Caenorhabditis elegans: one gene and its partner. The protein of the gene in region 1 interacts with the protein of each later gene in a pairwise test. Each region holds a gene or a part of one and is shown in the gene's direction. Other genes may lie near its edges.

Region 1 (6,659 bases):
GGTTGCCATGAACAACAATTGAAACGAGTAGGCAATGAAAAAAGTAGTGTGTCCATGCGAGGCCCTACATCTCCGTACTGAAAGAGAAATGGATGTAAGTAGCATAACGATGTACCAAGTATGCTGATTTAGCAGCATAGTTGGGAAGTCTACAATAATGCCATCTCCAACCTTTATGACGTTTTGTGACGAAAACATTAGTAAATGAGCGTCAAAGGGATGAGCCATCGTTAGGGATTGAGCGTTCAAGTGAATGAGCACGCTAGTAAATGAGGGTTTGCCCTATCATAATGACTGCCCATTGTTGACACATATTTTTTAAAATCAAAACTGAAGGCTAGATGAAGGGGAAATATCAGGCAACACAACTTTCTTCATTTTCAGATGGGAATCTGGAGACGAACAAGCTGTTGCAAAGGGAGCTTACCTTCCTTTCGGACTTGGACCCCGAATTTGCATTGGAATGCGTTTGGCCTATATGGAAGAAAAGATGCTTCTGGCACAAATTCTGAAGAAATATTCTCTGGAAACAACTTTTGAAACCCATATTCCATTGAAACTGGTTGGAATCGCCACAACTGCGCCAACAAATGTTCACCTAAAATTGAAGCCCAGACATTCCGATTAACTTGGCTTTATCATTTCTTTTTGCCAATTCTTCCCCCCATTTTGTGTCTTGTTCTTGACACAGTTTGTGTTCTGTTTGATAAAAATGTGATGAATTGAGAAGTTTGTTCTGATAATCAACATTTCTGCAACATAGCTACTGCGACTGATCGAAGAAAGTTATATTTTGTTGGCAAAGTAGAATATTTTTTCCACTAATGAGTGAGGCTAAAGTGGTTTATTTTGAAAAAAAACTTCTTAAACTTTACTTCAGTAAACAAAATTTGTAATAAACCAATCATATTGGCCGGGAAAATAGTTTCAAGGCACATTATAGAAGGGCTGATCAAAATCAGATCTAAATATCTTAAAACTCCTCATCTTCAAATTGGCGTAGCATGAAAACTATGCGTCTAGAAAACAAAGAATCAACTAACAAAATGATCAAAAATACTTTTTCTTCATTTTCCATTACTTTTCATGTTAGTCTATCAATTATTCGCTGAGTTACACGGGAGGAAAGCAATTTAACCAAAATTTGCCAAAAAAATTCGAACCTTCTTTGCAAGAAGAGTCACACTACAACACCCATTTGGTTTCAATATAAAAACCTGTAAATTTGTAATTCATAAATACTTATTTGAAATTTTCATGTTATAACTTTTTTGATATCTTAGTTTTCAGCTAAGTTACAGACCGTTTTTCAAAAAAAATCATTTTCAACCATAAAACTCTTTATATCCAACGTATCGACTTGAAATTTTGAAAAACGATCACTTTTTTGAGGTCTCTACAATGTCCTAAAAAATCTTCCGAAAAGCCCTGCTAATCTCCAAAATCGTCTTTCGCTCTGAAAAACTAAATCGGACTTTTGCTTTCCCAAAAATTGACAAAAGAAAAGAAGGCGGGGTTTACGTCACGTGTTTCACGGTGTGTGGCGGAACCCGAAAAACTGTCGGCCGCTAAATTGTTTCACTTTGTTTGGTTTATATATGAATAATGCGAATAATAGTGAATTTTTTCTTTTTCTGAAAGAAACAGGGTATCTCAAGACTTTAACTAATCTTCAGAACGAAATCATATATCAGAGCAACCTGTTCAAAAACTGCAATCTTTAAATGTTCAATGTTTTCAAAATAGTTGGTCCGACCTTGAACTAGGTGTTCGGTCCATGTCTAAACACAAGTACTAGAAGATTAATGGGTAGACAGACCATCGGTAGACAACCTTCTCTTCCGTCCTTGAGAGCTCCTCTTTTCTCTTTTTTTCTCTAATTGTTCACACTCGCTCGTTTCAGGTAAAATTTGTGTCTAGATCGTTATCTCTTTTCGTTTTCTTTGATTTCTCGGCACCCAAATTGTGGACAGAGTGTGATTAATTCTGTAGACGCAGGAGGAGAAGCGTGTCTTTTTATTGGTATACCGTGATTAGAGAGACGGAGAGCTGGCGATAGAAAAAGAGAAAAAAGTTTTCAAAGTGGGTGGAGCGTCTTATATAAATACAGACAGTTGGTTTTATTGAACGGCTCTTCCATTTTTTTTTTCGTTTTCTGCTTCTACAAACACAATGAGCCTAGGGTTTGTGCTCGCCGTAACTTTTTCAATATTTCTTGGAATACTTACATACTACCTCTGGATATGGACATATTGGATGAGAAAAGGAGTTAAAGGACCACGTGGTCGACCATTTGTAGGAGTTTTGGATGTGCTCTTGGAGCATGAAACACCTGGATTAATCAAATTAGGAGAGTGGACAAAGGTTGGTGCAAGAGAGTTCACATGGTGAATAAGCTTTTTTGGAAAAAAAACTTTAAAAGCTGAATCAGGGAAAACGTGGTAAATGTTTTTAAATGAGGAGAAGCTCTAATGGGGAACATTTTAAAAATTATTCCAATGCTATTAAAATGATTGAATACTATAAAGTAAACATTTTCAAAATAAGTTTAAATGTTTTATCTACAATCAAAACTTGGCAATTCCTCAATCTTCAATTATTATAGTTTGGGAAACTGAACAAAAAATGTTTTCTCCACGAGGTTCACATTTTAACTATTTGAAAAATTTGGGCAAACTGGCTAGAAGTTTTGAAAAATCTGAATCACTTTTTTTGAAAGTATTTTTTAAAGATAAATTTATGTTTTTGAACAGTTTTGAGTTTATTTTAGAAAAGCCGAATATTTAGCGCATTTCTGTTTAGACCAGTCAAATTGTGAAAATTATTCTAGTAGGCAATATTAAAAAAAACATGTGAAATTCCTCTAATTGTTCCCAAAATTTGCAATTTTAATTATTAATTTTTCATCCTACTTCCAAAATCATTTTTCTCAATAGAATCACAGTTTTTGTGAGTTATTGCCAGATAACTTGACATAAAAACTCGTTCTACTTATCGGTTTCAACTTACTCTTGTCAAATTTCTTCCTAGTAGATAAAAAGTCACATGTACAATTGGTAAAGTTTTGTTTCATGGCCACTTCCAGTGCAGGACAAAAAAATTTCCTAAGATTTACTGCACTTTTGCGAAAAGTGACTGCCCTTGACATGTTTATTCACTGAACAGAAGTTCCTTCTAAACGCATCACTGTCAAAAGTTTTTGCTTTTCACGTATAAATGATGGATTTTAGTAGGTAGGGCAAAGGTACTTGGAGTTTAAATTTGCAGAGGGGTAAACAAAAATAGTAAATTATTTTTAAGAACATCATGAGTATTGGGTAAACAGTGTGTAGTCCTCGTCCACTTTGTACGGAAAGGGCAAATTTTGTGTGGGTTATATGTAGTTGAAAGAAATGGAAAATTAGATTTTTCGAAAATTTAAAGACCTATGTAGTTGGAAAATAACTTCTATCTACAATCCTAACATTTTACAGAAATATGGCAAAGTGTATGGATACACAGATGGCACTCAGCGAACATTAGTAGTTGCTGACCCTGCAATGGTCCATGAAATATTTGTGAAACAATTTGATAATTTCTACGGCAGGAAGTTGAATCCAATTCAAGGAAATCCGGAAAAAGAACAACGAGTTCACTTGTTGGCTGCTCAAGGATACAGATGGAAGAGGTTGAGGACTATTTCATCACAAAGTTTTTCGAATGCAAGTTTGAAGAAAATGAAGAGAACTGTAGAGGATAGTGCTCTAGAGTTGTTGAGACATATTGAAAAGCAGACAGCTGGAGGAGAACAAATTGATATGTTAAGGTTAGTTTTTAATTTTATAGAAAAAATTTAAGCTTTAAAAAAGGATACGAAGCAAGCTTGAGCCTATGTATATGAAAAATATCATGATACCTTCAAGGCAGCCTATAAACCCGTGAAATTTTTTTTTGTTTCACTGTATTTGCAAATCTGATTTTTCTAGGTCTTTGGGTTTTTGACAGTTTTGCTTTAAAATGATAACTTCATATTCCCTAACATTTCCAGTATTTGCAAATATTATCGAAATTTCTATTTTTTCTAATTTCTATTTTTTCTAATCTTCCAAAAAACCTTTTAAGCTCTATATTCTGAAATCAGTTTCCAGATTCTACCAAGAATACACCATGGACGTCATTGGTAGATTTGCGATGGGTCAGACGGATTCTATGATGTTCAAGAACCCAATTGTCAATGTTGTCAGAGAAGTTCGTTTTTTTTTTGAATTTATTCATCTATTTCATTTCATACCATTAGCTAAAAACTTTCAGATTTTTTGTGGCAGTCGAAAAAACTTGATGTTAATCTGCCAAGTCTTCCCACCAATTGGTCAATTCATTCGTGACCTAACATTCAAATTCCCCAGAATTCCCGCTTTCAAACTCTACAGTATCATGCAAGATGTAGTAGCTGCTCGAATTGCTCAAAGAGAACGAGAGAAGGGGGCGGAGTCTGGAGAGCCTCAAGATTTTATCGATTTATTCCTGGATGCCAGATCAGATGATGTAGATTTCAGTGCGGAAGCGAGAGAAGATTTTTCAAAAAGGAACTTGAAAATTACAAAGGAATTGAGTGCCGATGAAGTAGTGGGACAATGTTTTCTATTTTTAATTGGTGGATTTGATACAACTGCATTATCACTATCATATGTTACTTACCTATTAGCTGTTAATCCAAAAATTCAAGAAAAAGTAATTGAAGAAATTGCTCGTGAATTCGGAACTTCAGAAGTAGAATTTGAGAAGCTTGGGAGGCTGAAATATATGGATTGTGTGATCAAGGAAGCTCTCCGTCTGTATCCATTAGCTTCTATGTGAGTTTTTTGATGAACTATGTGTAAAATGTTGCACCAAATTCTATTGCATTTTAGTTTCCATGACAAAAACCTCATGTGAAAATTTTTGCAGAAATTATTTATTAAACTACCATAGACCGTGATTAGCGATAAGAAAAATGTTGTCTATGTCTGCAAAACTAGGTAGATTTGAGAGAAAAAATGTCTATTTGTTGCACTTGCATGCAAAATACTGTGTAGGTACAAAAAAAGATTATTCAATGTCTTGTTGGGCAAAATTGCAAATTAAAATATGAAAAAATATATATATCCGGAAATATCTGGAAATTGGGAATTTGATAATTTCAGCAATCTTGGCAATTGACAGAAAATTTATCTTTGACGTCTTGAAAATAGAAAAGAGCCAAGTACTGTTTTTCTGATATCTGAAACATTCCTAAAAGTTTGTTATAAAGTTACCAAAAAACACCTTAATCAATGACCCTTATATGAAAATAATTCAACATTTTCAGTTCAAATTCCCGAAAGTGTATGAAAACAACAACTGTGAATGGTGTAAAGATTGAAGCTGGTGTATACGTTCAAATGGACACTTGGTCTCTTCATTATGATCCAGAATTATGGGGAGAAGATGTCAAAGAATTCAAGCCAGAACGATGGTCCACCGACGAGCCATTAGAGCACAAAGGAGCATATCTTCCATTTGGACTTGGACCACGTCAGTGTATTGGAATGAGGCTGGCTATTATGGAGCAGAAGATTCTACTGACTCATTTATTAAAAAATTATACATTTGAGACAGGAAATAAGACTAGAATTCCTTTGAAACTGGTGGGAAGTGCTACTACATCGCCTGAAGATGTTTTCGTGCACTTGAGACCGAGAATTTGGTAAATTTCAGTATTATTGTCTATTTACTTTAATTTTGGAACCCGTTCTATCAATTTCTCAGATATTACAAGATCAGACTAATTGTAAAAATATTTTAGTTAAATTTTTTATTTCTATTTTGTAAAATATTTTCTTTGATTTTTAAAACTTGGGTGTTTGATGGTAACTTTTCATTTCATTTTTTCATTGTTATTCGTTTTTTTTTGTTCAATGATTGTTTCCTTGTTCACACATTTTTCACCGGTTGACTCCATCCACTTTTTATGTGTTTGTTTTTTCCCCGATCTGCACCAATTTATTATAGGCCTACCTCGCTTTGTTTTCATTTGATTTGATGATAGAAAATAATGAAAAACATGGTTGTAAAAAATTATTTTTTGAAGTTAATTTTGGTTCTATTTTTAACGTTGATAAATGTTAAAATTATATATGAAAGTTTATTATGGGGATTTTAGAAGTTTACAAGAAAAATCTTAGTGAAAGCAATTTACAGTGAAAACAACATTTTTGGATTTATTGTATTTTGATATGTGTTACTGAAAACATTAAAACATAAAATAAATTTCAAGATTTTTGTACGATTTGATATTTGATCTGCGCTATGTTTAAACATGCCGAAAAAAAATTCTAAAACTAATTCAGATACAAGTTTTCTGAATCCAAAGTATTCCAACACAGTCCATTCCCAATTCTCTCTGGGTTTTATTATTTTAACGTTTCCGAGAAACTTTTCAAAAAAATCACGAAATATGCATTCATGTGTTGCCCTTGGTTTCCAGAAACTACTTCACATTGTCGTTAAGAAAATTCTAAATTATATAGAAAAGGGGAACACATATGCGTGCACAAAATCTAAATACAAAAACTCCTATTTTTGTCAAGTTTAATTGAAGTTTTCAGCGTCACAGAATTTCTTTAAATAGTGAGAAGAATGAGTAAGACAACAGTAAGTTT
Region 2 (4,169 bases), on another chromosome or scaffold:
TTTAGAAACGTATTTTTCAAATTGAAGGTGGGTTCACTGGTTTTTGAATCTTTCCCGTAAGACAACAGTTCTCATTGATGAGTAAGAGTATACCTCACTGCACGGTGAAAGAAGATGTGGAATAGATAAGACGTAAATTGCGTTGAAGGTCTCTGTATAGTTGCGCACCACACCACGCATCTGTTGTTCCTAATTCTGTTTTGATAGAATGGGGTTTGAAAGGTTTCGGGATAGGAAGAATGAAGATGTACATGTACTTCCTCGAAAATCGGAAGTGAAGACAACAAAAATGAAGATCAAACAACAGTCGGATGTGTTCCGCGACACCAATTCTAATTGATATGGATGTTTGTACAAAATACCAGTTACAGTTTCAGAAACATCAGGAAAAATTACAGATACTATTGTAATAAACATTTTTGTAAAATTCTACATATGAATTAATGAAAAGAATGAATAGAACCTGGCCTTATATGTAGTTTAGAATTGTAAATTTATCATGCTAATTATTTTTCTGAATCTCCTTTGTAATTTAAGGCAAATACCAGGCACTTTCAAGTTAAGTAACACGATTATCAGCCTGTTTTGCCTGCATGTTTACGCGCCCTGCATATTCGATCCTAGGCTGTTGTGAAGCGAGAGCCAACCGCATCAGCTCCGAGCCTCCGAGCCCACCGCCGCTGGTCATTGATTTAGAACAAGTCTGCAGCGGTCGTCAAAGTAGCCCCCAAAGCGCTGCCGCATTGTTTGAATTTGCTCCAAGTTTCCAGAAACATCCAGGAACATGCAAGAATCATCATTTAACTTTGAAAACGGCAAGCTTCTGTAGTCACATTTTCAAATTTTCAGACCATACATTACTCAAGATAATTTGAAGGTAAATTATGGCCCAAAGAGTTATGGTGAGCGCTCTTTCTATTTGAATAACAGAGCGACTTCAAATGACGACCGAGCGCCTGGTGGGTGGGCAAAAGGCAGCCCCCTAGAAGCCTCCGCATGTCCGATGTTTTCGTCCTATTTTCTGCACAAAAATATTCAAAGTTCAAGATTTTAGGCCGAGTTTCTAGTCAACTAAAAGCCCGGAAAAAGACGAACCCGAATATCTAATTTTCATCTAATATATCTGAAATTATGTTGACTTCCTTCAAAGAAGAAATGTGGTGCGCGCTCTTGTTGACACATTGCGAAAGAGACCCTTTATGAGTCGTAGGAGGCGGCGGTTTTCTGTTGGCAGCCCCCTCGAATCACTCCGCAATTGTGTGTTTGTAGCGCGCCAAACGGCTCTTTTTAAACACAGATATCAAAACTTATATTTTCTTCACTTTAGCTGATGAAACAGACTTTCCCCTCTCAGAATATATAATTTTTATTCTGAAATTCGCAGTTTGAATGGTTTTTACAGACCCTAAAATGATGGTGCGCGCTCCTTTCGGCAGATAGGGAGAGACGCACAGAAAACGAGAGGGAGGGCTGGGAGGGGTGCCGCTCACTCTGTTCAACATTACTCGCTCGACAACGTCCTTCTCGTTTCTTCTTGATGCATTGTGTATACTTCTACAAGGGCTCATACGCCTCGTGTTAGAAGAGATGAAAATGTCCCATCAGTTTCATATCATATAAGAATACGGAAAGGAGCCATTCTTTGCTTTCTTCAAACAATCTTCATTTGTTTACCGCCCTCTTTCTTCTCTTTCTCATTTGACCTTTTTGTATCAAACTCTTTATATTCTCGTTTTTCAGTGACTCATCCACTTCAAGCAACTAAATCAACTATGTCTGACGGAAAGGAAGAGCTCGTGAACCGCGCCAAGCTTGCCGAGCAGGTATGTAGATGTCTCAGGATGTTCTTGAATACTAAAACTTTAATTTCAGGCTGAGCGTTACGACGACATGGCCGCATCCATGAAGAAGGTCACCGAGCTGGGAGCTGAGCTCTCCAACGAGGAGCGCAATCTTCTCTCCGTTGCCTACAAGAACGTCGTCGGAGCCCGTCGTTCTTCATGGAGAGTCATCTCTTCAATTGAGCAGAAGACCGAAGGATCTGAGAAGAAGCAACAAATGGCCAAGGAATACCGTGAGAAGGTTGAGAAGGAGCTCCGCGACATCTGCCAAGACGTTCTCAACTTGCTCGACAAGTTCCTCATTCCAAAGGCTGGAGCCGCCGAGTCCAAGGTCTTCTACCTCAAGATGAAGGGAGACTACTACCGTTACCTCGCTGAGGTCGCCTCCGGAGACGACAGAAACTGTAAGTGATTGAAAATGATGACTGTAATTGGGACATAACCGTGCACTCGTTTCTAACCCTCATTCGTAAGCTATGCATCCTTGTGTGAAGTGTGGAAAGATATCATAGGGAAGACAGAGAACGGGAGTTCAGGCGCGACCCAATTCCACATCGATGCGTAGTTTTTGAAAATAAACTCTAGGGCAGCTCATTGGGGGTTCTCCTCTAGGGAGTTCTGCCTCTCATAGTCATACTCGTTTCAAAGAAGACCAGAAATGAATATTCCTTCTTTGCAGCGGTTGTCGAGAAGTCGCAGCAAAGCTACCAAGAGGCGTTCGACATTGCCAAGGATAAGATGCAACCAACTCACCCAATCCGCCTGGGACTTGCTCTCAACTTCTCTGTCTTCTTCTATGAGATCTTGAACGCCCCGGACAAGGCTTGCCAGCTTGCCAAGCAGGTGTGTTAATGTTTTTATTTTATTTTAGCAGTAGCCAACATTGGACAAACGGCTTACGCGGAGGCACTTGAAATTGCAAATAAAGATCTGTCACCAACGAACTGTGTTCGCCTTGGTCTTGCACTCAATTATTCGGTGTTTTTTTATGAAGTAGCAGCAAGCCCGGATAGAGCATGCCAGCTTTCCAAGCAGGTGCTCGTTAAGTTTTTGACATAGCATCGTAACTTCAAAGCTATTGATTACCTTTAATCTTTCAGGCTTTCGATGACGCCATCGCTGAGCTCGACACCCTCAACGAGGACTCATACAAGGACTCTACCCTCATCATGCAGCTTCTCCGTGACAACTTGACTCTCTGGACCTCGGACGCTGCCACCGATGACACTGATGCCAACGAGACAGAGGGAGGCAACTAACTCCTTCACACCGACACGTTACCGCCACACACCCCTCACCTCGATCTTGAAAATGATAAATAATACTATTTGTCATATGATTTATTTATTACCATTGACTAGTTAAACCATCGTTTTTCTTTCCATTTTTTTCTATAAATTCATCAATCACTCCCCTTTTCCCATCAACCAAATGCAGAAGTTATTCAAATTTCTGTGCTGAGCCCACTCATCAAAACTTCCCGTCTCTACCCATACAATTCAATGTTCCGTTTTGTTACGGCTTTTCCCCCTTTCAAATCTCGACATTCGAAACACCCCCAAGCTTTTGAATACACATAATAAAGTTGTAACACCAACTTCAATATGAGAAATTAACGCAGATAATCACGTCGAAGAAATATTAAGAGGGGAGGATTCCGATTGACATCCAAATGTATAAAAATTAGTGCAATTGAACAAAGTTCGAATGAGAAAAGAAAACTGAAACGAACGTTTTCTTTTAGCGACATCTTGTTATTGCAGGTTGTTCTTCCTTAACCAAGATAACTACTACGTCTTAGGCACTTGCTAAGGTTCAATTCAAAATTTATTTCATTTATTATAGATATGAACAAAGATGAAAACTAGAATTTAATGTTCATATTCATTGAGGAATAAGAAAAGGTGGAGTCCTGGATTAAATCTCCGGTACATGACACTTTCATAGGTTTATTTCTAGTTAAATTGGCTTTACAGATATAGCAAAATTTTGGTTAGTGACATACTTGAAAACTACTTATTTGGACGGGTAGGTTTCATTTGCAACGCCAGGTGGCGGCGCCAGCTAACAACCAAAAAATTGGGGTTTTTACAGCCGATAATATAAGGAGTGGTAATTGGTACACTGGTAATTGAGATAGTTCTATGCAGAAAGAGCAGGGTTTTGGGAACGAGCTACTTTTGTACCACTTTACAATTAAATGAACATTTGTGCTTTAGTTGAAAAGTTTGAAAGCCGAATACATAAGAATACCAAAAACAATTTCGAAAATTGTCATGTTTTTTTTGAAGAAGAAGAAGAAGTCCTGTTGTTTTGAATGCAGTTTTA

Evidence for each region.
Region 2: the proteins of cyp-13A2 (region 1) and ftt-2 interact in a two-hybrid assay, tested with the Caenorhabditis elegans proteins (one large-scale study listed by BioGRID).

Annotation. Positions count from the first base shown.
Region 1 is NC_003280.10:9,782,867-9,789,525, reverse strand, and holds cyp-13A2 (Putative cytochrome P450 CYP13A2), read left to right. Parts: upstream 1-1,896; 5' UTR 1,897-2,172; coding exon 2,173-2,364; intron 2,365-3,473; coding exon 3,474-3,805; intron 3,806-4,127; coding exon 4,128-4,227; intron 4,228-4,290; coding exon 4,291-4,832; intron 4,833-5,326; coding exon 5,327-5,708; 3' UTR 5,709-6,142; downstream 6,143-6,659. Other genes in the region: cyp-13A3 (Putative cytochrome P450 CYP13A3), read left to right, coding at 385-628. UniProt on the Caenorhabditis elegans protein: Cytochromes P450 are a group of heme-thiolate monooxygenases. They oxidize a variety of structurally unrelated compounds, including steroids, fatty acids, and xenobiotics.
Region 2 is NC_003284.9:11,602,984-11,607,152, reverse strand, and holds ftt-2 (14-3-3 domain-containing protein), read left to right. Parts: upstream 1-1,733; 5' UTR 1,734-1,772; coding exon 1,773-1,823; intron 1,824-1,872; coding exon 1,873-2,245; intron 2,246-2,520; coding exon of another isoform or gene 2,521-2,684; intron 2,685-2,712; coding exon 2,713-2,876; intron 2,877-2,941; coding exon 2,942-3,100; 3' UTR 3,101-3,445; downstream 3,446-4,169. UniProt on the Caenorhabditis elegans protein: Required for extension of lifespan by sir-2.1. Required to modulate lifespan, in concert with hcf-1, acting redundantly with 14-3-3-like protein par-5. Promotes nuclear export of yap-1.